4 linked regions of the Schizosaccharomyces pombe genome follow. The gene in region 1 interacts genetically with each later gene. Each region holds a gene or a part of one and is shown in the gene's direction. Other genes may lie near its edges.

Region 1 (7,128 bases):
TCCAATGTGCAAATATCCACTAGGTTCGGGAGGAAATCTGGTGACCACCTTACCATCAATGGCATCAGGAAGACCGATCTCGTAGTTAGGACCAGAAGATTTTTGTTTTTTGCTAATATTAACTGCCTTGGTGAATTCTTCCATGGTGACACTCACGGCATTTTGAGAATCCATAAACTTGTACCAACGAGCAAGGTTGAAATACTGGCCAGTGCGTACGGCACCAGCTGCCATGTTGTTTGATTTTAAGGCACCCCAAATAGAAAAATCAGCAGAGGTGAGGGAATAACCCACAAAAAGAGAGCGCATAATTAAATGGTCGTCTAACTGAGCAAGAAGTGAAGAAAGCTCAAGAAAGTTGTGGTTACCAGCTAAGGCAGAGGCAGTTTCCACCCAACTCTCAACCAAAGAACGATCGTTTTCGCCAATGAAAAGTTTAGGATAGACTTGAGAGAAAGTCTGTAAAGCCAACTTGGAACCGAATACAGGAGAATCAGAGCCGTTAAGCTGAATGGAGACGTTCGATTCCTTGTTTTGTTTGTCTAATAAAGCAACGTCCTCATACTTGACGGAAATGCTTCCTGCACCAGACAGATTCACATAATTTGCACATGCAACTGCACCATAAGCAATGGGCTTTGCTTTTAATGCAACACTAACTGACATTTTCCCAAAACCGGTGGTGAAAATTGTCGAACTTGGTTCGTGGTAAGTTGGTGTCGAAGTGATTTTTAGGGTATTAGTGTATGGTAAAGGTATGTTTGCAAAACACTAAAAATCCAAACCAGAAAAATTCGAACGCAGTACGAAGTTGACCGAAAAAAAAGGATTCTATTTAAGTACAAATTAGATTATAGATAAGGAATTCAAGTTCATGTCTGACCTTGATTAATTTTCTTTCCAGCATTTTTCGCTAATCTGCTAATTTTATACAGATATGAACCGAAACCGAGGGTTTCTCGTTATACTGTTTACCATTTTCTAACGTAAATCGGTATACCGATAAGAAAAGAGAATAGATACATAATAACAGAGTGGAGTTGAAACAATCAGAAGAATGGAAGAAAAGTCATTTTTTTGTTAATAATTACCTGTTAATCAGCTATAGGATTAAAGGAAAAAGTAGGAAAAATCATCTACCAAGTTAATTAATAAGATCTTTATCATCTCATTTATTTAGTTATCTTGCTATTGACAATTTTGACGATATCAAATACATATATGACATTTCAAGTACATTGAGAGTAGAAAAAGAGCACCTTTTATAATTGAAATTATTATAAATTGGAAAAAAATCTCACTTCAAAATAGATAGCTGCTTTGTTTATTTTACAGAAATAGCTAAAATTTGAATACAGCCATTTATAATGTACTTCATTGTATATAATATAAGGAACTCTAACATATCACGGCATAGTCTAGCGATTCATCTACTGAACATGTAAATATATCATTGTTTGCTTCGACAGATGTCTCATGTGGTTTTGCCGCGTGAGTTATACAGTAGATGAATTGTTTACAGCTATACAGTTTCCTTGTTTTTTTTATAACTGAGAAACCTTTGAGGTTTATCTGATGGCACGGTAATTATGAGATAACGAGTAGAAACCAAAAACTCACAAACATTTAAATGCAGTTCAGCAGGTAGCTGAAGTCTCTTTGACAAGCTGTATTTCTTCCTTAATTCTCATTTCGTGATGGTAATCAATTGTTTTCCTTACCCTGCCTCCTAACAAATTGCAGTTTGCTAAAAAGTGTTTACCAAATAGTGAGTCATAGTGCATTGACTGTAAATGTGAAAATTCGTCGTAATGCTAACGATCATTAAATGTACGGTAGAGCTAACAAATTAACTCGAGCAATAATAAAATTTCGCAATATGAAATAATGCATCTTTTGGAAACTTAGCGCGCGAATAAAGTATACACATGGACGGGTCTACTAGTACCTAACGATTATCGATGAAGCTGCAGCGTTTGTCAAGAGCACTTTACGGTTTTCGCATCTAATTAGAGAATATGGGAGGCCAAGAGTCAAAGTAAGTAACATTGCGAAATTTTCGTATGAGCTAACTGTTTAGATTGGCATTTCAGCGAGGAATTGCAAGATTAGCTTCTCAACCGGTACGGTTTGTGTTTATGGGTGGATGATACGCTAAGAGAACATTGCAAGCTAATTCTAGTAGGATATACCGTTGGATGATGAAGTTTGGGTTTCTGTATGAAATTTTTTTTATTAACTTGTGTAAGACGCTTTTACTAATGTATTCGTTTTTATGTTTATTAGCTTTGGAGTGTACCTGAAAGTTGTCCAGAAGTTTACGATTTTTTTCCCCCAGGTCTCATTCGTGAGATGAGGGATCATGCCTTTGTAAACCTTGAAAAATTGCTGCTTGTATTGACATCTCGTTTGTTTGCGTTGAAAAATGACAAAAAGTTTCCAAATCCTGAAACGGCACCAGCGAGTGAAGCGTTAAACTGCATTCGCCTACTTACTAGAATCATTCCTTTTTTGAATGAGAAACTCGATTTAGAAGAATGGCATCAAAAGTTTTGGTGGAGCCTTAGAAAGAAGAGAAATTTACCAAAGGAAAATTCCGAATTAGACCTTAGTAATTTTCAAGACGATCTAGATTTTGAAAATTCCATCTCCCAAAAGAACGAATTCTCGCAGAAGTCTCCTTCAGTCCCATTATCTCCTGTGAGCACCTTTCCTGCTTCTTCCATCTCCCTTGATGCTTCTTCAGACGTCTCTGCCGCTGACGTATCAGTAGGTGGTTCTAGCACAATCAAAGAAATTGGCTCTATTGAAGAAACTTTTACTCATGAAAAAACTTTAATGGAGGAATTGCTGGACACCGTCTTTCGTTTGCTTTTTTGCAGAGGCTTTACGCTTCCTCTTTCAAGTCCTGAGCAATATGCATACATTATATGGTAAGTATATATGTATATATATATATATTTTTTTTTTGTTTTTCGTTTGCTTTTTTATATTTGGTTAAATGCAATGTGTTAACTAATCACTTTTGCAGGGAAAATGGAATTGGTACAACAGAAACCCAAGAGAAAACCACAAAGGAACTTGCGTTTAATCGCATTGAGGTTCTTCGTTTGCTGTTAGTATTGATTTCTAAAAGGCTGTATCGATCTTCTGAAGTAGCTTCTCACACCCTTACTTATTTGACCTGTGTAGCAAATAAGCAGCTTATACTAGTTTTTCTTTATTCCCTTATAAATACTGTAAGTTTTGGCTTAAAATTTACCTTTTTTTGTTGTACAACTAACTTAGTTTTTAGACTTTGCGACTTAGACCTGATAGCTGGAAGGCTTCGTATTCAACTCTAGTACCTTATAATGATTCTAGCATTGCACTCTCAAAACTTACTTCTCAAATCCTTTTGCTTTTTTTAGATCACACCCCTCATGAAACAACAGTCGAATACTTCAGACAGAGACTCAATCTTTCTCCTGGCGCTGCTATCGAAAATCAGTATAGATTATATTTTTCTCGACTTCAATTACAAGCTGATTATGAATTTTTAGTTAACGAACTATATCGGCTATTGAATGCACCAGTTTCCGCTATCTCTGCCTATATTTCAATTGTACAAAAGCCTAATATCGCGTTTCCGGAAATTATTTTGTTTCTTTGGCAAGCAATTTTATATAATAAAGTATGTTCAACGGTCCTTTTATATATATTACATTATTTGTACAGTTGTTTAATTTATGTTGTTACGCGTTCATTATATTTGCTAACTAATTTAAAACAGCGTTTCCGAGCATTTTTGATCACTTCTCCTTATGCTACGGAGTTTTTAACTTCTATTCAGTTTTATGCACTTAGATATCGTGAAGACAATGAACATTCCGGCCTTGTTCGCATTTGCCTTTTTATCGTTCATTATTTATCATGCGAGAAGGTTCTTTGTGAAAAACTAAATAGAAACTGTATGAATGCACAATCATTGATGTCTTCCCTTGGGTTCTCAGTCCCACCAATGTCTTATGCAGAGTTTTTGATTATCGTAAGATTCACGATTAATTGTTTATTTTAATTTTATTACTTACGCCTTCCAGTCTAGCTTTCATATTTCAGCAGTGAAGAGATCTCCGTTTAGCAGTTTATCTCCTGTTATATTGTTGACCATATGCAATATTGCACCATTTGTTGAAAACCTAAGTTTCGTTACGTGTGCCAAATTAATGCAACTCTGTTCATCTCTTTCATCTCCTCGGTTTCTTTTTCGTAATCCGCGCAATCATCTGCTTCTTGAATACCTGTTACAGGCTATTTCTAGTATAGTTGAAAACAAGTTTTCTCAAAACCCTAATCTCAGTTATTCTATTATTCGCCTCCAGCAAGTTTTTTTGAATCTTAATTCTATGAAACTTCCTGCCGTTGCTCAGACTAAATCACAGCCTTTAGTGGCCCTCAATTCGGAAGGAAGTAGTGATTTTGAATCTAAATCATCCGATAACACCTCCTTAGATGGAACACCACTCCAAAATACTGACTTTAAAAAAGTTGCTACCGTTGAAGATGATTCACCTTTCGATGAATTAGATAAATTTTCCTCCCCTTTTAGTAGCAGTAGTTCACGCGGTGGCTTATCACATATTTCGAGTAGAAATGTTTCGATTTCTGTCCCGACAGTCCTTCAAGATGTATTCTCAGATTCTCCATTGGTTCTGTCTAGAAAGTTGCGTGGGAAAATACCGGAAAATGTTTCTAGTTCAGAACTTATTAAAAAATGTGCATCCAATCCGTTTGGAAAAGATTTAGAAATTGACTCAAATTTGTTTGCACCTTCCAACTCGTGGTTTAATTCTTGGCATTCAAGACTTGAATTGGATTCTATTCTAGCCATTATATCTCAGTTTTCTCTACCTGTATACAAGAAAATGAATGAAGAATTATCAACTACTGACGAAGCTGTTAAACTATTAGCTAACTCTGTGCTAAATGATGTACATCCTCGAGTTCCCAATTTTCGCTACTTTATTTGGAGTGTCCCTATGAATAATTGGTTTCAAAGTCTTGTTTGGCTTTATACTTTGTCATTTGATGAAAAAGGTTTAATGGCTACTCCCTCTTTATTTACAACCTCTAAAGTGTACAAACAACATGGAAATATCATGAAAGTTGCATCTCCTGAAAACAGTTCTAACTCAATGGAGAATGCCACAAAATCTATACTTGACAAACTCGATTTGCTGTATTTACAGCTGCCAAGTAGTGTCAACCACGATTCCAGTTTACGCAACAAGTGATTCTTAAATTCAATGCGTAAATTAAAGTATACTTTTGTCCTAAAAAATATTTGAAGAAAACCCTGCATGCATGTTATGGTATCTTACTTTGAAAATTTATTGATTAAATTGTTCACTAAAAAATTATCTTGGAGGATTTGCATCCACATACTGCCATCATTTAATTATATACTGATGACCAGAATCTTGCCTTGCTAATTTTGATTTTTGAACTTTTCGATTTGTTTTCATTCTATTAATTAACTAAAAACTGGCTTGGAGAATCTTCTGCTCCAACCTTGTCACTAGCTTTAAAAAAGTCTTTCGAAGTTTGATTTGGAAAGTTGGTGTTTGAAAGTCAATCTCGTATACTTTAGAAAGACCCACCTTTATGAGAGAAACGATCCACTGATGCTAATTCATTACATGTATCCAAATCAATGTATAACCTTATATAGCAATGAATTGGTTGCTAAAAAATTCTTAGCTTTATTTCGCTACACTTATAAATCTGTTTACTATATAAAATAAAAAATCCAATTTCAAAAGTTTTGAGTCCCAATTTTTTGGGTAACGAGGATTACTTCATAAAGACCTTAGACCTTTCCTTTATTTTTTCCACAAAACTATTTATATTCATGAGTTTGTTTTGTAATTGCAATGAATAACTAGCTTGTCATTTACGAAAATTGCATATCAAAAGTATTTGAGTAAAATCGATATCCTGTTTGGCATAATGGTTCAATTTATAAAAAATTCGTGTGGTTAAGAGTAGAAATATATTTTCGATTTTGCGAAATGCTTAATATGCGAAGATATTGTATTTGAGTACTTCAAAAGAATACAACGCACAGTAAACCTTTTCTTTCAATAAATTATCAGGTAGAGGTGGCCTTATTACTGTTTTTTAATAATTTTTATGCTTAAATACCTATTGGAAGCAAGAAGTAATTATGATTACCAAAATTGACTCACTTCCAAAGGACCTAATTCGCAAAGTTGAAAATGGTGAAAAGTTGTTGCCAAATCAAGAAATCGTTTATTTTGAAGAAAAAACAGTCCCCTATAAAATTAGAAGTGATGAGGAAAGTTTTCCTTTGGGCAAATTGATAACTTTATTAGTAACTTCACAGAGCTTTATCCTTTTTGATGAAGAACAGAATTCTGGCTGGAAAATTCCATATGAAACCATTACTCTTCATGCGAAACAAAGCAAGGATAAGCCATATGTATATGTTCAATTAGAGGGTGAAGCCATTCGACCCTTGCTAGATCACATTCTTAAATTTGAACGGTCGTCAGGAACATTGCATGAAGCTCCTTCTACCGAAGATGAAAATGAATTCACAGATGATTTTTTAGAACTAACATTATATGTTACTGATGTTGATTCATGTTACCAGGCTCTTTGTACTTGCCAATCTCTACATCCGGACACTTTTTCCTCAGATAATGATGTTGAAAACGCGAGTATGGGAAACCCTATGTCCTTATTTTTTGATCCAAATCACCAGTGGGTTACGGCTGAAAACGTAGATACCTCAGCTTGTGATAACAGATTTGATTCTCCGGAATCGCCTGTTCTGAAATGGCATCGCACAGAGTAACTTTCATAATGTTGTATTCTAACGTTTCATTCATACTTTTTAAAAAGTAGTTTATGATAATAAATAAATATAAACAGGCTTCTAAATTTACTAGATAAAATATCATTACACATTTCACTAATTTGTACAAAATTAATCATGTAATACATATTACAAATGACAAGACTGTAGACTAAATTTCCCATGCAATAACATTTTAATCATTATTTATACTGGAGAGGAATTGCAATAGCATGTGAGGCGGAAAGATGAACATGCTTTACGGTAAC
Region 2 (6,339 bases), 1.4 Mb from region 1:
TATGCAATTGGGTCATATATTCCCATTCATTTTGTATTAGTTCCGTTGCTGAAGAGGCTAACTATTGGAAAAATCAGTATAACCTTGAAAGAATACATCACGTTGCATGTCGCTCATGGATATAACGGTTTACCGGCATCGAAAGATGAAGTCAGGACCGTTCGTTCTCTTCAAACCGAAGAATTGGAGGAGTTTTCCGATCACTATGAACTTACAAAGAACTTGGAACTACCAAGTTCTCTTGTGGAATGTCTTCAGGATTGTGATTTGGATGGAATTAAAATACGTCACAAATTAAAGTTTTCCGTTTCCCTAAGAAATCCTGATGGCCATATATCAGAATTAAGAGCTGCATTACCTGTAGTCTTGATGATACCTCCTCAATTATTTGGCGATCGTGCCGAAGTAGAGTCGTTACGCGAGAATTTTGAAAGTTTTAATCAGCCTTTACCTAGCTATCAAAACAGCATGTATGATCGTCTTTACGATGGTTTGAGCTATTCCAACCTTGATACACCTCTCCCTAGTGGCGCAACTACACCAAGGCGACGCGATTCTATGGAGCCCACCTATGCTTCTAATGAAGCTCATAGGCGACAACTCATTGCTGGTTTGACAGAGTTGGCTCTACAACAACAACCGCAAGGAAGGAGCCCCAACGAACATTCACCGTCAAATCATCCTGAAGATTTCCCGCCTTCTTTCAGTTTAGGCTCTAATCCATCCAGTGGAGCTGCCTCTGCTGTAATTACTAGAAACCCTTCAGAAACTAGTTTGGCAGATCTGAGCAGAGTCCCTTCTTATAAGGAAGCAACAAGATCAGCCGTTCCATTAGAATCACCCTTACAATCAACATTACCTAGTTATGAAGATGTTGCACGAATTGAGCACCTTTCACGTCCTCCATCACCTGGTATCGTTACTCCACCACAACGTACATCTCCTTCATTTTTTGTTTCTCCAACTGAAAGTACACGACAATCCTTGGATAGTCGTAGGTCATTCGAACACTCCACATCTTCTTCTTCGGGTATAAGCCCATCTCACAGTAGTGCTTCTTTAGCTCATCTTTCTCAAGCCTCCAATCCAAATGGATCGTCTTCTGCCCCGCATAGGCCCACATCAGCTCGTGTAGGAAGTCACCGAAACGCACTAGACGCTTTAAGACGGGCGCGTATGCTTCCATCTGGATTTTCAAGAAGAAATTGAAGTTTTGAGCACTATTTTTAAATTTTTGCGCAAACATCGGAAAAAGAGTATTCATTACCTGTACTTCCGTACATTTGAATGCTGTGTTCTTAAAAAAGCCTAAATCAATACAAACATCTCATGGTCTGCATGCACAAAGCTTGAACGTGAAGCTAAGGTGTTAAAATTTTTATTATTATTTATTTTTGTGCCCTTCCTTTTGATCTTTTTTTTTTTTTTTTTGCCGGTTGAAGGTGAATGAATACTTAGTTTGTGGCACAATGTCATGATTCTATTCAATTAGTACTGCGTCTCTTTGCTTAAAACTCTTTCCTAAAAGTGAGGAATATCAAGCTTAATATGGATATACAGTCATAATTAAATTTTTTATTATTTTTACTTTTATGGTGGACTTATTGAAATTTCGAGGAAGGAGTAGTATTTCGTTAAGAATATTTCATGTAATTCTGCGCTTATATTTTCAAATTTATCTTCAGAATATTCATCGATAAATTTATTGCCTATAAGAATTCAAAGCTTGTACATTTTATAATTTTGAAGCAGGAGGTTATGTCATTATATCCGTTCCTTTATGTAGCATTCGCTTTCATGTCGTGTTAAAAAAACCATTTGGATGCATAGTAGATTATTAGTATACTCCCTACGATTGCCAGCACCATTGTCATGATTCTTCGTCGTCCGGCACTTCGAACCACACGGAAGAAATTTTCGGTGGATTTTTTAACAGAATTTGAAAGTCCTGAAAAGCTTTCAGTCTATAATAATACAGGTTAGGTAAAAACTCAAATTTTTTTTTTTAAATTACATACAGCCCGATCAATTCGAGTATAGTCATTGGCACGGGAATAAATATCGTAGGTTACGTTTTTCAAAGAAGAAACCTGCCCAGACAGAGTTTCCAAACGCCGCTCATTTTGATCATTCATTATAGAAATAACTTTTACAAAAATGAATGTACATACGTTAGCATCTTTCTATATCACTTGGAGTACTACCAAAATTTAACGACATTTAGGACGTGGTGATAAATCCTTTAACGAATCTCCTAACTTGATTCTATTTTCGTCGAGCTCAAACATAATGTTATCTACAATTCTTAGCATCAGCCGCCTAATTATTGCTTTATCAAATGCCAATATCGATCGGACTACTTATTAGTAGGTAAATGGTTTGGAAGTTCATCGTTTCCATCCATTTTTAATGAGCAGTAGGATCCGTTCTTTAACATCTGAGTTATTTGAGGAATTGCTATTCATCGCTAAGTCAAAACATATAATATATTTGTATAGGTACTCGCTACCAAAATATTTGGATCCATTACTGTTTCCTGTTTCCAAGTAAAAGGGTTTATTTATCCGCTGCGTTTTAGACTCAGGACACACTATCTTTCTGCAATACTTTTGAACCTGAATTCATTCAATAAATTGAATTCGACATCATATAATATAAATTTTTATTTTTTACGTTTGAATTGGATTTTTTGTTTATAATTGCATTGTTTTAAGAGATTAATAATTCATTTATTGTTCTCATGAGTGTTCGGAAACGGTACAAGGTTACTTATGTTCTTGATTCCTGTAACGATCAACTAGGGCACCGTTTGGATGCTAATTGTCTAGTGCTAGGTCGGTACTTTTCAGAACAAGGGTCAGCACCAGTTACTAGAGCACTTTACAGTGGTGGCCGAGATGGACAGCTTTTCGGTTGGGACATCGGGTATGATTATGGTAAAGCTTCCCAGCCCTTAGCCAAAATCCAGGCTCATTCTGCTTGGGTAAATGATATAGCTTTAACACATGATTCCGAAGGAGGTAAGCCTTTGAAAAATTTAATTATCTCTGGAGAATAGCGGTAGCCTTATAGAAATTGACGTTCTAACATTTATTAGTGATATCTTGTTCTTCTGATTCAACGGTGAAACTCTGGAAGCCACATGTCTTGAATGCTTCTTGTTTATCAACAATTGGCGAGCATACCGACTACGTAAAGCGCGTAAGCATTCCCAAATATTCCAAGAGTCCGTTAGTCGCTTCGGGTGGGTTGGATAAAAGGATAATTGTATGGGACTACAACGTAGGTCAAGAAGTTATGCGATTTGAACAGTTACCTGACTGTTCTCTTGTTGTTGGTCCAAGATCTGGTGTTTACTCGCTGGCAGCGAATAACAACATAATTGCTAACGGCGGACTACAAAAAGACATTCAGTTATGGGATTGTGTTTCCAAGAAAAGGATTACAGATTTAGTCGGTCATACTGACAATGTTCGAGATATTCTAATTAGTGATGATGGCAGAACAATTCTCACAGCCTCTTCAGACGCTACAATAAAGCTTTGGTCTCTAAGGGCGCAAAAATGTTTATTCTCTTTCATAGCTCATTCAGACAGTGTATGGGCATTATATTCTGAGCACCCAGATTTAAAAGTATTTTATGCTGGTGATCGCTCAGGCTTGATTACTCGTACTGATATAAGAAACCAGCCTAACAACCAAAGCTGTACTGCAATATGCAAGCAGGATGCTCCTGTCTCTGACATTGTTGCTCGTCAATCTTTCATATGGAGTACTAGTCGTGATGGCTCCATTCTTCGTTGGAAGGATGAGCCCCTCTTTAATCAGGACGTGGGAGCAGCATTATCTAAGCATACCTCATCTCATCTTTCTGTATCATCGGACTGTCCCTCGAGACATTCTTCTGACATACGAAATCATAGCTGTCCAACATTATATCACGACGATGCTGAGGATATATATTATGATTTGCATCATACTGAGAGCTATTCTAACATCAATTTAACCAAAACCCCTGATTATGTTATTCATGGTGGTATTGGTTTGTTAAAATATCGAATGTTGGGTGATCGAAGGCATGTCTTAACTGAAGACGCTGTCGGCAATAAATGTTTGTGGGATATACTTGCTTGTAAGCAAGCCGGGGAATTTGATAAGTCAGAAGATTTTGAAAAGATTGTTCAAAGTTTGGATACTGTTCAAGCAATACCTAGGTGGGCTTCTGTTAATTGCCTTTTGGGGATTCTTGCTGTTACTCTTGATGAAAATCACTACATGGATGCCGAAATTTATGCTGATGAATGTCCTCTTCTGAAGGTTGATTCCCCTTCTGATAAAAGAATAAACTTAGGGGTGTGGATTTTAAAAAATTTATTTCGTGAATTTATTGATGCCGAGCTTCATCGTGATTTAAAATTTAGACAAAATTTAGATGTTGTAAGGTCTGAAGCTAAGAAGCAGATAGAAGCCCAGAGAGAAGAAGCAAGAAAGGGAAATGTGAATATGCCATCAGCTTTGTCTCCATTGAGGATTCGATCTCGTCCATCACCTTTATCTCTTCCTCCAGAACCTTTACTTTCTCCTACTATAGATTATTCCGCTACCCCATTCCCCCTCGAGCCTCCCCCCGAAAGTCCTGGTCCGTCTCTTCAAATTCCATCAAACAACCCCGTTTACACAAATTTAACAGATACAGATTCTATGATGGGTGCGCCAGATTACTTTTCGATCCCCGCCAGGCAAAATCGTAACAGAAAGCCACATACTGAGGTAGTTGGATCCCCTACTGTTGTGAGAACGAAAGAGATAATTCCCCCCAAAGTAACTCGTGAAGGTTCATTTATGGGCAGACTTAAAAAACTTGGAAGATCAAAGTCATCCAAATCATTACAAACCGATTTTATGAAAGCTTCTGTAGAGAGAGCTGCGTCAAGCCGCGTTTTCAGTACCGGGACTTCGGTAACTTCTCCGCAAGCATTGTCTAAAACTAATAATACTGTTAATAATGCTGCAAATACAGAAAATAACACACTAGCTAAAGATAAGCAACAAACTTCAGAGGCATCATCACCTGGTACCCCGCGAGAGCTGAAAACGACTGGTGAGTTGATTGAAGATCTTCATGAACAATATGTACATTTTAAGGATAAAGACACCGTTCTTAGTTTAATGAAACCACCAAACGATGATACGTTTCCCATGTTAAATCTTTCGAGTCAGATTACTGTTATCATCAGCGAAGAATCTCCTGAAGCCGGTAATTCTCGTGACATATATCGTTCTACTCTTGAGAACATGGCTGACGATATTGACTTACTTGAAAATATTATGCCCTTTTGGCTTGGAAGATTACTGTTATTAAACGAATTTCCTTCTAAAACTGCCCCTACTGTTAATTTTACTCTTCAGCCTTTTCCTGGAAGTGGTTTACCGCTTATTGTAAATGAAAACACTCGTTTAAGTGCTAGTGCTATGCTTCGTGCTCAGAAAATTATGGATTATAGCTATAGCAAGCTTAGCCAACAAAGAAAGGATGTATCATCCCTTCAATTTAGATGCAAAGATGTCGTCGTTACCCCCAAAATGACATTGGCAACTGTTAAGGCTCGAATTTGGCGATCTGGAGACGACGTTGTCTTTCATTATGATGTTGCTCCTAGATCTGTTTCAGAAATTGTTGATAAAACCCAGAGTCTTAATATTTAAAACTTAAGTTTGATTAAAATTTTAATTGATTTCATAATCCTGTCGAAAATAATGTACAATAAAATCAAGTTTTCAACCTGTATAGTACCGGCCAAATAAGGTTTTACCATGTCCCTCTAGAATTAATGTAAACACCGTCCCTACTGGTTTGTTTTCGCCCATATTTCAATATAAGAGCTTCAACTCTTGATTTCGACAAGGCAAGATCTTTAACGAAACTCCAAAGTTCTTCATATAACCATTTCGACTTAAGTTGAAACAAAGATTGAAACCGCCTACTTGGTTCTCTCGGTAACTGATCTCCTGATAAATACTGAATCGTATTTGGGGTATCGTGAAAATAATAACCCTAAAGAGTTTTAGCATTAGCTGACTAAAATGCCCTACCTTTAATAAATTCAAAGAAGGAAGTCCTTTACAAGGATACGGAAGACGATTATCCCATAACTGAATGAACTCATCGGAGCTTATACTGTTGATGCCTTCTAACAAAAATCGCCCATACCAAAAAGTCGTCAACTCTAAATCGATATTGAATTTTTTAGGTAAGACATTGTCCTTAATGGGTGAAGAGATACTTTCAAGAACACAAATTACTGAATCCCAATCAAATTCGTCATCCATAGCTGGCTT
Region 3 (4,313 bases), on another chromosome or scaffold:
ATGCTATTAATGGGTTATTGAATCATCAAATTGGATTTGCCGATGCTTGTATTGAAATTTACAAGCCTATTAGTGGGCGTGCTTCGGATCCTGAATCGTATGAGCAAGAAGGCAATGCGGAAGGTATTGAGGCTGCCGAGGCTTACAAGGAAATTGTATACGATCTCCAAAAGAATTTGGCTTCTGAAATGGATGTTATCAACACTCGCATTGTCAATCCAACTGGTGAACTGCTCAAGATTGTTAAGGATGTAGATAAGCTTTTGTTGAAACGCGATCATAAGCAGCTGGATTATGATCGTCATCGTTCATCTTTCAAGAAACTTCAGGAAAAGAAGGATAAAAGCCTTAAAGATGAGAAGAAGCTTTATGAAGCTGAAACCGCCTTTGAACAATCTTCCCAAGAATATGAATATTATAATGAAATGCTGAAGGAGGAGTTACCTAAACTATTTGCATTGGCTCAGAGCTTCATTGCTCCCTTATTCCAAGGATTTTACTATATGCAATTAAATGTCTATTACGTTCTTTATGAAAAGATGAGTCACTGCGAAATTCAGTACTTTGATTTCAATACCGATATTTTGGAATCGTACGAAAGAAGACGCGGCGATGTTAAAGATCGCGCAGAGGCTTTGACGATTACTAAATTTAAGACCGCTAAACCGACGTATAAACGACCGGGTATGGGACCGGGTGGTAAAGATGCAACTGCTTCTTCTTCTTCTTCCTTTTCGTCAAAGCGTGAAGAAGCAGCAGCCGAACCCTCCTCTTCGACAGCTACGGATATTCCACCCCCATACTCAACGCCATCGGTTGCCGGAGCTTCCGATTATTCTACCCCAAGTGCAGGTTATCAAACTGTTCAGACGACCACTACTACAACTGAAGCAGCAGCTGCTCAATACCCTCAAGCGGCCTTTCCTCCCCCTCCAGTTATGCCTCAACCTGCTGCTGCGGCAGTGACCACACCTGTTGCTGCACCGGTAGCAGCAGCTGCAGCCGCAGTTCCCGTACCTCCACCAGCGCCTGCACCTGCTGCGGCTCCCGCCGCAGAGCATGTTGTTGCTTTATATGATTATGCTGCCCAAGCAGCCGGAGATTTATCTTTTCATGCTGGCGATCGTATCGAAGTTGTTTCACGTACTGATAATCAAAATGTAAGTACTTAAACTTAAATTTTCATTTTTTTCTTATTAAACAAGGACTTTACTAATATATATTTTAGGAATGGTGGATTGGCCGACTTAACGGTGCACAAGGTCAATTTCCTGGTAATTATGTTCAGCTTGAATAAAGCGTTTTTAAATTTACCTAGATGTGTCTTAAAATCTCGCTGCCTACTGAAGTCAATATAGAAGCTTGATTATAGGACTTGTTGTTACAGGTTACTGTTTGTGTGCGCGCTTCAACAAGTTTTACACTGCTATTCAATTTCTATCAATTTTGTCGTTCTAACTATGATGCTTAAATTTAGACATGTATTCCATACATCATCATCTCCAGTGATAATTTAACACTGTCTATGTTTGAATACTGGCTTTTTATCAACGTGTTTCCTTACTGACGTGTACTTCAAAGAGTAGCACATTTTTTGAAATGTTTTGAATAACGTAAACTTATATATATTAATTACGTTTAACTGTTTTTATTTTAATTTAACTAGTCTATCAACAAAGCTGTCCTTTCTTATATCTATACTTTAACAGTGCTAGCTAGGATTGAAGCAAAACATGATTCGAACTAGAGCTTTCATTGTGATATTGAATTTTTTGGGATTTGTAGTTTCAACAGTATAACAATCGGAATTGATGTATTCTAGCAGGAAATATACGACATACAGTATTTAGAGTCGTTGCTAAACGAGAATCGTTTAACGAACTTCGTTAACAGACAGTATTCCATGACTTAAGTGAATAGTTAACTACGTAACCTAATGCAGCAACGATACGGTAAATACAATATCGAGTGTTAATGAAATTTGTAATAAAGTAATTTGCATAGCTGATAGTATCATGCAAATCAATCTAGTAAGTGAGTTAGCACCTACCAAAGGAAATTGGATGATGAAAAGTGTTGTTTGAGAATATCAGTTACAGGATATTATGGTACGCCCCATAAATGCTGAAGAGGATGTGACATCCATGTGGGTTAAATTTCATGAAAGCCTAAATCCCATTCGGTCTAGTTTAATAAAACAAGAAGAATGTTATAAAACGGTTGATGGCGACGATAATCCAATTGAAGAAAGAATTAAAGCGTGTGACGCGGGAATTCAAACCTCTGAAGAACAGAAAAAAGAATTGGAGCATACAATGCAATCTCTTGAGATGATTATTAATGTACTCGAAAAAGCCAATGAAAAACCTGTAATTACAAATAGTCCTTTGACGAGAAGTCGTCGAAACCGAGGAACAAGCTTTACAGCAAATACAGTAACCTTTACACCTGGCATGTCTGTAGCTTTCAAGTTACCATACACGAGGCATAACGAGGGAGGTGATTGGATTCAATGTATCATTATTAAAGTGACTGGAGAAGGAGCAAAACAGAGGTGAGTTTTCAAAAGCAAATATTGTCAGTCGCGAGTTCAAATTTACTTCTAAGCTTATATGTTGATAATATTTTTTTACCAGTATATTAACAAAACCATAGATTTGAAGTGCAGGATCCAGAACCGGATGATGACGGTAATGCAGGTCAAATTTATAAAACTACAGCTAATCATCTTATACAAATTCCTGCAAAAGGAACTCCTTTACCCCCAATAAGCCCAAAAACAAATGTTTTAGCTCGATATCCTGAAACTACTACGTTTTATCGGGCAGAAGTCATTCGCACTCTGCCTGATGGATCATGTAAACTTCGATTTGAAGGAGAAGAGGAAGTTGGGAAAGAAACAGTGGTAGAGCGTCATTTGGTGTTAGAGTACAATGGTTAAAACTGGAACGTTTTACTCAGATTTTTTAGGAGGTATTAGTTAAAGGTTATTTTTATTCACTTCGATATTAGGTTCACAGCATTTAAAAAAATTGATGACATTATCTGTAATATGCATAACTCAGATTTAACATTTTTTTTATTCATTGTGATGTTGAGTTGTTCCTTATATTTTATATATTAATGGCGTTAACGCATGTTAATAACTTAAGCCAAGACAAGGGCTCATTCAAAGTACTTGCTTCTATCGTGTTGCACATCTAACATTGCTAATGTACGCCAAATCTGCTTGCTTCCTTGACATTTTGCAAGGAATCTAATTTTAAAAAATAGTAGTAACATGACAGTCTAGAAAAAATTTCAAACACCTATAGAGGAAACTGAATACTAAAACTAAGTTCATTTAACGAGTATCTCCTATTAAATTATTCATAAAAATAAACAAAATAGAAAAATTGTATATGTATGAATCCTTTGGTTAATGGACTCTGAGATAAAGAAATGTAGCAACCCGGTATATATAGTTAACGCATTTATAGTTACCAACGCTATGAGGGCATTAAGGGTTTGAGTAGCTGCTCTTCTGGTTACATTATGACTGCGTATTTATGGTGGACGTGAATATGGCACCAAGCACAGCTTTGTTTTCAGAACCAAACATTATACTCCTTTCAGAGTTATATTCTGTTTGCTGGCTCATATATTCAAGGAGTCTTTTGTTTAATTCTCAACGATCTTTAAGTTTGGTTTTATTTTATTCTTTTATTCAAAGGGACAATTAATATTCACGTCTCTCTAATTGACCTCCTGGCGCAACGTGCTCGTTTAATTAAACTCTTTCACTATGTTTTCAAATTCTAAAAAAAAAATTTTTCTTTACGTGCTAATTGCCGGTGTTGCTACTTTTTCCTTTGCTTTTCTTGTACTAAATCGTCTACAGGCCGAAGAACATTCACTCGCCTACGTAGAGAATTTGTTTTTAGATCCCTTCATTAAGCAAAATGAATCGCTTGCCCATGCGAACGACAGACCTTTCAAACTGTATTTGGGGATTTTTAGTCAAGCTAAGAACGTGGATAGGCGTAACTTTTTACGTACCGACTATAATGAATATATTAAGGAGTTTGCCGTAAATGATACTGTGGATGTTAGATTTATCCTTGGTTTACCTGAGAATGAGCAGGAATTAGCTACCATTCGCGAAGAGCAGCGAACGTATGGTGACTTAGCAGTACTACCTATTCCGGAGAATGTGGATGCTGGAAAGTCCATTGTATACTTCCAAACATTTTTAGAGGGCTACCAGCCGTTTCCTCTTTTTTCTGAACTTGCAGATAATCTTATAATGCCCAGCACTCAGTTTCATGGTAGTT
Region 4 (5,939 bases), 2.2 Mb from region 1:
TAAAATGCACTTGGCCTGTTCATTGATGGCCAAAAAATTAAATATAATTTGGTGAATTTAACTCCTATATAAAAGTTTTGTTTTTTCAAGCCTAAGGATATCGTTGAAGCTATTGCTGTGGATTACCGATGTTAGACTAAATAATAGTTGACACCAATTCGATTTATTAACAGTTTATAAACTTTCTCCCTACATAGTCTTCTTTCTTCGATAATTACTTTAACACATATAAAATGGAATTGTAAATATACTAAACGAAACGATAAGACATAGCCAAACTATGAAGGAATTATGCATATAGCATTTGAATAAATTAAATACTGAAAGCTAAAAGAGCTGCTATAGAGTACAAACTCAGATTCTTATATCGCACCTGTGATGAATAAATGTTTGAAGAAGCGATTTTTATTAACGAAAATATAACATAATAAAAGAGCTTATTTTTTTTGCTTTGCTTTAAGATATTAGAAGTACTCTACTTTTACCCCATATTAAATGTTGAATAAGAAGATATGGTTTTCGCATTTGAAAGCACAACGTCCATGTCTTTTCGATTAAGATTCATTAAGTATTATTGGTGAATATAATTGAGTGCAAGGGACTCTCTCGCTGAATTTACCATATGCAAATATATCATAAATCCACAGAAACCAGTATAGGATGTCCGTTGAATAAGGAAAATTTTATTTAAGTCTAACTCTGATAATACGTTTTGTATGTCAGTCAATTGAATATAAGTGCAAATTTTTATTTTTTTAATGACCTATTTATTGTAATAAAATCACGTTTCTTTGTTAAAATTGCACAAATTGAGTAAGCTATATAAATATTTAGAATTGAATATATACATATGAAAGCAAACATTTGGTCGTAGGATCCTTGTACACTTGAATTTCTATGATATTTTATTATTTCATATTAATTATGCTTACGTTTTGGAATTTTTATAAAAAATTATATCGTACTGGTAGTAGCCGTTTGTACGATCATCTACCTTTTTATTTTTTAATTTCATTAAACAAATTTAATTTATTTGTTTGCATTTTTGAAAAAAAAAACTTATAAAAAATCAATTATGCTCATTTAGCTTTTTGCAATGATTTTTTTTTTTTTTAAACATTTAGTTTAACTAATGAGACTATTATTTAAACAATATTGCACCAAATTTATGTCAAAATCATCACTCTTAAAATTGAATAAACAACAGGAACAGAATTCCATGAGTTATTCATCTTGAAGCTCTTGACCTAACCTTGTTCTTTCTAAAACCAAGCATTTTTGTTTAATTTTTAAAAAAATATTATTGATTAATTTAGCTTTGCAAACAATTTGCACACAATAGATTTTGAGAGGCTGAATATGAATTTTTAATGTTTTGAAGACTGGCGTTCTACTAGAACGTCCAATGTGATAACGTTATACTTATGAAAGGATGTAAAACTTCTATATACAGTAAAATAATATATTCCCTCCTACCTTACATGTAAGGGTTGCATATTATTGATTATTTTACTTTGTATTCTTTAGACTCACGGAAAACACTAATTTATGGTAGAATATTAATTTCTCATAAATAATATTATTTTAAACGATTCAAAACTAATAGAAAAGCTCAGACTTGCCTTTATCTAGTCGACATTTGATTCCTTTGGTTTACTATCGCCAATGGCAATTTCCAAGGATCCATGCGGATTACCAGATTTATCTTCATCGCTTTTTAAAATGTTAAATATGAACTTAATATAATTCAGATGAAAAGGTTTAATCCAATAATATTATATGAATTGAGAATAACTGGTTGGACTTAGTTAATAGTTAAAAGACCATCTTAGCAAATGGGGAAGAGAAAATGGCTAAGAGTTAAGCATTGAATAAATACATTATTTACTTTGATTTCTATAAAACAAGCTGATATTCATCATAGCCTCAAATTACTTATTATTTTAAGTATGGTGTGGTAAAGGAATTGAGTCGCGCGCGTTTATTTCTATTTCTACTACACACCAACAACGAAGTTTACCTATCGCCCCTTGATTAAACTAGTGGACTTGCAAACTACTTCATTCATTGTCATAGAAGAGGAAGAACTAATTTATTTCTGTCTTTATTAAATTTCGAGATAATTGGTGTTTTTAACAATGTACATTTTGAATTGATAGATCAAAGAAATCAGGAGTGCAACTAAAAGAAAATTACGGTATATTTTTTTAAGCTGCAAGAGTTGATACTTAAAAGTATTTCCTAATTTTGTGGATACTCATATTTTGTACATTTACGTTTCAATAACATTTCTGCAACCGACTTATTCACAAATCTCTGGTTAGATTTCTCTATTGATTGAAAAGGTTTGTCTCACGTTCACCCTTCATAGTTTAGCGGTGAAAAAAATCTCCACTCTGAAAATTGTCCTTTCTTCATTTATTAGATTGCATGATTTATTTCACTGGATTTAACTAGCTTGTCTTGGCAGCTTACCTTTTATTTCCCTTGTACGATTTTTTTCCGGTGAAGTTGTATTTATTGTTACATAAAAACACATTTGGCCGTACTTTAACGATTAATTTCTTTTCTTTTATTCCCATCGAATTTTCGCTCACAGATTGCGTGTAATTCTCTTCATTGTTTAGGAATATTCCTTTTTTTATTTTTTATTTTTTTTAACCCTGTTAAATGTCATACTCGAAGAGTACAATTTATCGCCGACAAGGCACAGAACCAAATAGCCACTTTCGGCGTACCGTCGAAGAAAAGTCTCAGCTTTCTGGTACAAATGAGGAGTCTTTAGGAGGCCACACCCTGTCCTCTAATGCTTTCAAAAATAATTCATCTAGTATATCGCCATCCTCATCTGCGAAGGATCCTCGAGAACAGCGGAAAAGAACATTTCCTCTCAACGATACACATTCTTCCCGAGCAAGACAGCATGAAAGACCTTTTCGTTCTCGAAAATCTAGAAGGAGAAAGGGTAAAAAGGCATTCAGTCCTAGACCTGGCTCACCTCCATCACCTTCCTTTTACCGCTCAGGTAGTCAAAAACGAGCACGTAATTTAACTACCAAGGATTACTTTGCCAAACGCTCTGAAAGCTCTTCTAGCGCCTCCGTCTCACCTATATCACCGTCCGCAAACAGAAATGATTCAAAAAGGCAAGCTTCTTCTTTTCGAAGGTCTCCGCCTAGTTCTGTACATATGAAGCCTTCAGCTTTTAACGGTCGAAAGGTATCGCGGAGACCTTCATCTTCTCCTCCCCCTATTCCTTCTATCCCTCATGAAACTACTTCCTCCGATACACAAAAAAAATCTAGCGTGTCTTCTGGCTTTCCAGAGAACAAACATGGAAAATTTCACTTTCATATACCTAATGAACGCCGATCTCGATTCGATCAACCTCCTTCGAAACGTATGGCACTCACGTCCACGGCCCGTGAGTCTGTTCCAGCTCCTCTTCCTTCTCCTCCTTCCGGCCCAATTTATACATATACATATCCAAAGCCTGCCTATGAGAAAATCGACCAAATTGGAGAAGGAACTTATGGTAAAGTATACAAAGCCATTAACACAGTCACAGGAGATTTGGTAGCTTTAAAACGGATAAGGCTGGAGCAGGAAAAGGATGGTGTAAGTATAAAAATCAAGCTCGTAACTAAATTGACTAACTTTCTAGTTCCCTATAACTACTGTCCGTGAAGTCAAAATCTTGCAGCGTTTGCGTCACAAAAATATTGTTCGGCTATTAGAAATTATGGTGGAAAAAAGTACGATTAAATACTGTCCTCATTCACCGTTTAATTATAACTAGTTCTAACATTTTAAAATTCTAGGTTCTGTATATATGGTATTTGAGTACATGGATCACGATTTAACTGGAGTCTTACTAAATTCACAATTACATTTTACTCCCGGTAACATAAAACACCTTTCGAAGCAAATTTTTGAAGCATTAGCTTATCTTCATCATCGTGGGGTGCTTCATCGTGACATTAAAGGTTCTAATATATTACTGAATAACAATGGTGATCTAAAATTCGCAGATTTTGGTCTGGCGAGATTTAATACATCTTCGAAGTCGGCTAACTACACTAATCGCGTTATTACCCTTTGGTTTCGACCTCCAGAGCTATTACTTGGAGAAACTGCATATGACACAGCCGTGGACATATGGAGTGCTGGCTGTATTGTTATGGAGTTGTTTACAGGAAAACCTTTTTTTCAAGGGCGAGACGAAATCAGTCAGTTAGAGGTTATCTATGATATGATGGGTACCCCTGATGTTCATTCTTGGCCTGAGGTGAAAAATCTTCCTTGGTATGAGCTTCTGAAGCCAGTAGAGGAAAAGAAGTCGCGTTTTGTTGAAACTTTTAAGGAGATTTTAAGTCCTGCCGCCATTGACCTATGCCAAAAACTCCTTGCCCTAAATCCCTTTTGTAGACCGTCAGCTCATGAGACCTTGATGCATGAGTATTTCACTTCTGAGAGCCCACCTCCAGAGCCAGCAGTCATGTAAGTATAAAATTTATCGTTGAATGATATTTATCTAACTTATGTGTTTAGTTTGAAAAACATGCAAGGAAGTTGGCATGAATGGGAAAGTAAAAAACGAAAATCTAAAAGATAAATGAGCCAGAAAATTTTGTCAAGGCGAAGCTATGCAAGCTGGACAAATGTTTAAAAAAAATAATCTTTATATTTCATTTAATTTCTTTGTCTCGCTTTACTGCGGTCTATCTTCTATATATTTTGTTAACACTAGGCAGAGTAACAAATTTGTCTGATGCTGGACAACTTTTTTTCATTTTTTGCTCTCTTTTTCTTCCGAAAAAGATGAAATAAGAACACTAATAGCTCATGATAATTAAATGTTCCACTGGTTTATTTGACTATTATAACTCTTTCACCTTTTAAGAACTTAGAAATCAAAGGCTTGAAGTCTTGAAATGAGCTTGGTACTGTGTACAAAAAAGATAAATTCAAAGGACTCGTATGAATTTATGATGTGGTTTTCTTTTAATCAGTCAACCGTAGTAATAATAATTTGTTTACATATACTTTTTAATAATGTTAAGGTGCAGATGTTCTCAAGAGCCTGCTCAAATATTTAGTAATGATGATTTAACAATTAAGAGAGCAAAAATTAAGTTACTATTTGAATGCGTAGCTTAAAATTGATCAAAGTATATCTACGGCTTTTACAATAGTGTGATGGCACGGATATCACATTCCGCATTGCACTGGACCACACTATAAGTCAACACTGAACTGATCGAGGAATAGGTAAGCATTCCCCTTCTCCTTTTGATCAAGAACCATCATTATAACAAAAAAAACAAACACAAAAAAAGTCGATGTCATTGTCGGAGTATCTTCGTGAATTCGCTGAGATTTTTGAGGAAGCTGCACAAGAATTAACCTCAATATTCGAACTACCTCCTGACCTGTTGAAAGATATTACTGAAGAGGATGTTGGGACTGATGACTCTTGTAATAAGAAATTCCTTGAAGTTCAAAAGCAAAAAGAAGATGAAGAAGATGAAGAAATATTGAAAGGAGTGGATTTAACGCAGCAAGATTCCGTACGTGAAAAAATCCACGAAATACAATCGATGTCGCAATTGAGTGAGAAGAGAAAGGCCTTACTTATGCAGGTAAGTACATGAAATTAATCATAAAAGTGAGATTTAAATGAAAATAAGATTACTAAACTGGCTTTGTAGAAAATGCTGATGTCTGGTTATTTAAAATATCGACGAACTCACAAGAAAGAATCTGATGAGAACCAATTGAGCTCATCTGATCTTGAAAAGACTTATTATGACAAAGAGCAAGAAATTTTAGGGTGTTCTCATTACATGCGCAATTGCAAGGTTCAGTGTTTCGATTGTCACGAGTGGTATACGTGCCGTCACTGTCACAACGATGCTTGTGATCATGTTTTAGAACGA

Evidence for each region.
Region 2: mutations in ftp105 (region 1) and bun107 together harm fitness more than expected from each alone (negative genetic interaction), as found in Schizosaccharomyces pombe (2 studies listed by BioGRID).
Region 3: mutations in ftp105 (region 1) and sgf29 together harm fitness more than expected from each alone (negative genetic interaction), as found in Schizosaccharomyces pombe (2 studies listed by BioGRID).
Region 4: mutations in ftp105 (region 1) and lsk1 together harm fitness more than expected from each alone (negative genetic interaction), as found in Schizosaccharomyces pombe (2 studies listed by BioGRID).

The regions. Positions count from the first base shown.
Region 1 is NC_003424.3:1,784,420-1,791,547, forward strand, and holds ftp105 (Ubp5 interacting protein Ftp10), read left to right. Parts: upstream 1-1,950; 5' UTR 1,951-2,018; coding exon 2,019-2,038; exon of another isoform or gene 2,039-2,080; coding exon 2,081-2,123; exon of another isoform or gene 2,124-2,185; coding exon 2,186-2,218; exon of another isoform or gene 2,219-2,286; coding exon 2,287-2,933; intron 2,934-3,031; coding exon 3,032-3,239; intron 3,240-3,295; coding exon 3,296-3,673; intron 3,674-3,772; coding exon 3,773-4,027; exon of another isoform or gene 4,028-4,079; coding exon 4,080-5,273; 3' UTR 5,274-5,936; downstream 5,937-7,128. Other genes in the region: gus1 (glutamate-tRNA ligase), read right to left, coding at 1-666; protein saf5, read left to right, coding at 6,206-6,859; mrpl1 (mitochondrial 54S ribosomal protein uL1m), read right to left, coding at 7,063-7,128. UniProt on the Schizosaccharomyces pombe protein: Required for the localization of ubp5 to the Golgi apparatus. Involved in detoxification of cadmium ion.
Region 2 is NC_003424.3:412,666-419,004, forward strand, and holds bun107 (WD repeat-containing protein), read left to right. Parts: upstream 1-2,325; 5' UTR 2,326-2,740; coding exon 2,741-3,020; intron 3,021-3,097; coding exon 3,098-5,706; 3' UTR 5,707-5,809; downstream 5,810-6,339. Other genes in the region: rod1 (arrestin/PY protein 1), read left to right, coding at 1-1,209; SNARE protein Sft1, read right to left, coding at 1,806-1,964, 2,019-2,135; Ctf18 RFC-like complex subunit Dcc1, read right to left, coding at 5,810-6,055, 6,094-6,339. UniProt on the Schizosaccharomyces pombe protein: Required for the ubp9 recruitment to septa and cell tips but also for its enzymatic activity at these specific locations.
Region 3 is NC_003423.3:2,417,774-2,422,086, reverse strand, and holds sgf29 (SAGA complex subunit Sgf29), read left to right. Parts: upstream 1-2,041; 5' UTR 2,042-2,105; coding exon 2,106-2,554; exon of another isoform or gene 2,555-2,655; coding exon 2,656-2,941; 3' UTR 2,942-3,349; downstream 3,350-4,313. Other genes in the region: BAR adaptor protein Hob1, read left to right, coding at 1-1,160, 1,229-1,297; pvg3 (galactosylxylosylprotein 3-beta-galactosyltransferase Pvg1), read left to right, coding at 3,785-4,313. UniProt on the Schizosaccharomyces pombe protein: Chromatin reader component of the transcription coactivator SAGA complex. SAGA acts as a general cofactor required for essentially all RNA polymerase II transcription.
Region 4 is NC_003424.3:3,951,801-3,957,739, forward strand, and holds lsk1 (P-TEFb-associated cyclin-dependent protein kinase Lsk1), read left to right. Parts: upstream 1-1,995; 5' UTR 1,996-2,670; coding exon 2,671-3,618; intron 3,619-3,664; coding exon 3,665-3,755; intron 3,756-3,770; exon of another isoform or gene 3,771-3,821; coding exon 3,822-4,500; exon of another isoform or gene 4,501-4,551; coding exon 4,552-4,615; 3' UTR 4,616-5,069; downstream 5,070-5,939. Other genes in the region: SPOM_SPAC2F3.16 (ubiquitin-protein ligase E3), read left to right, coding at 5,343-5,642, 5,712-5,939. UniProt on the Schizosaccharomyces pombe protein: Catalytic subunit of the CTDK-I complex, which hyperphosphorylates the C-terminal heptapeptide repeat domain (CTD) of the largest RNA polymerase II subunit. Involved in RNA polymerase II transcriptional elongation and pre-mRNA 3'-end processing.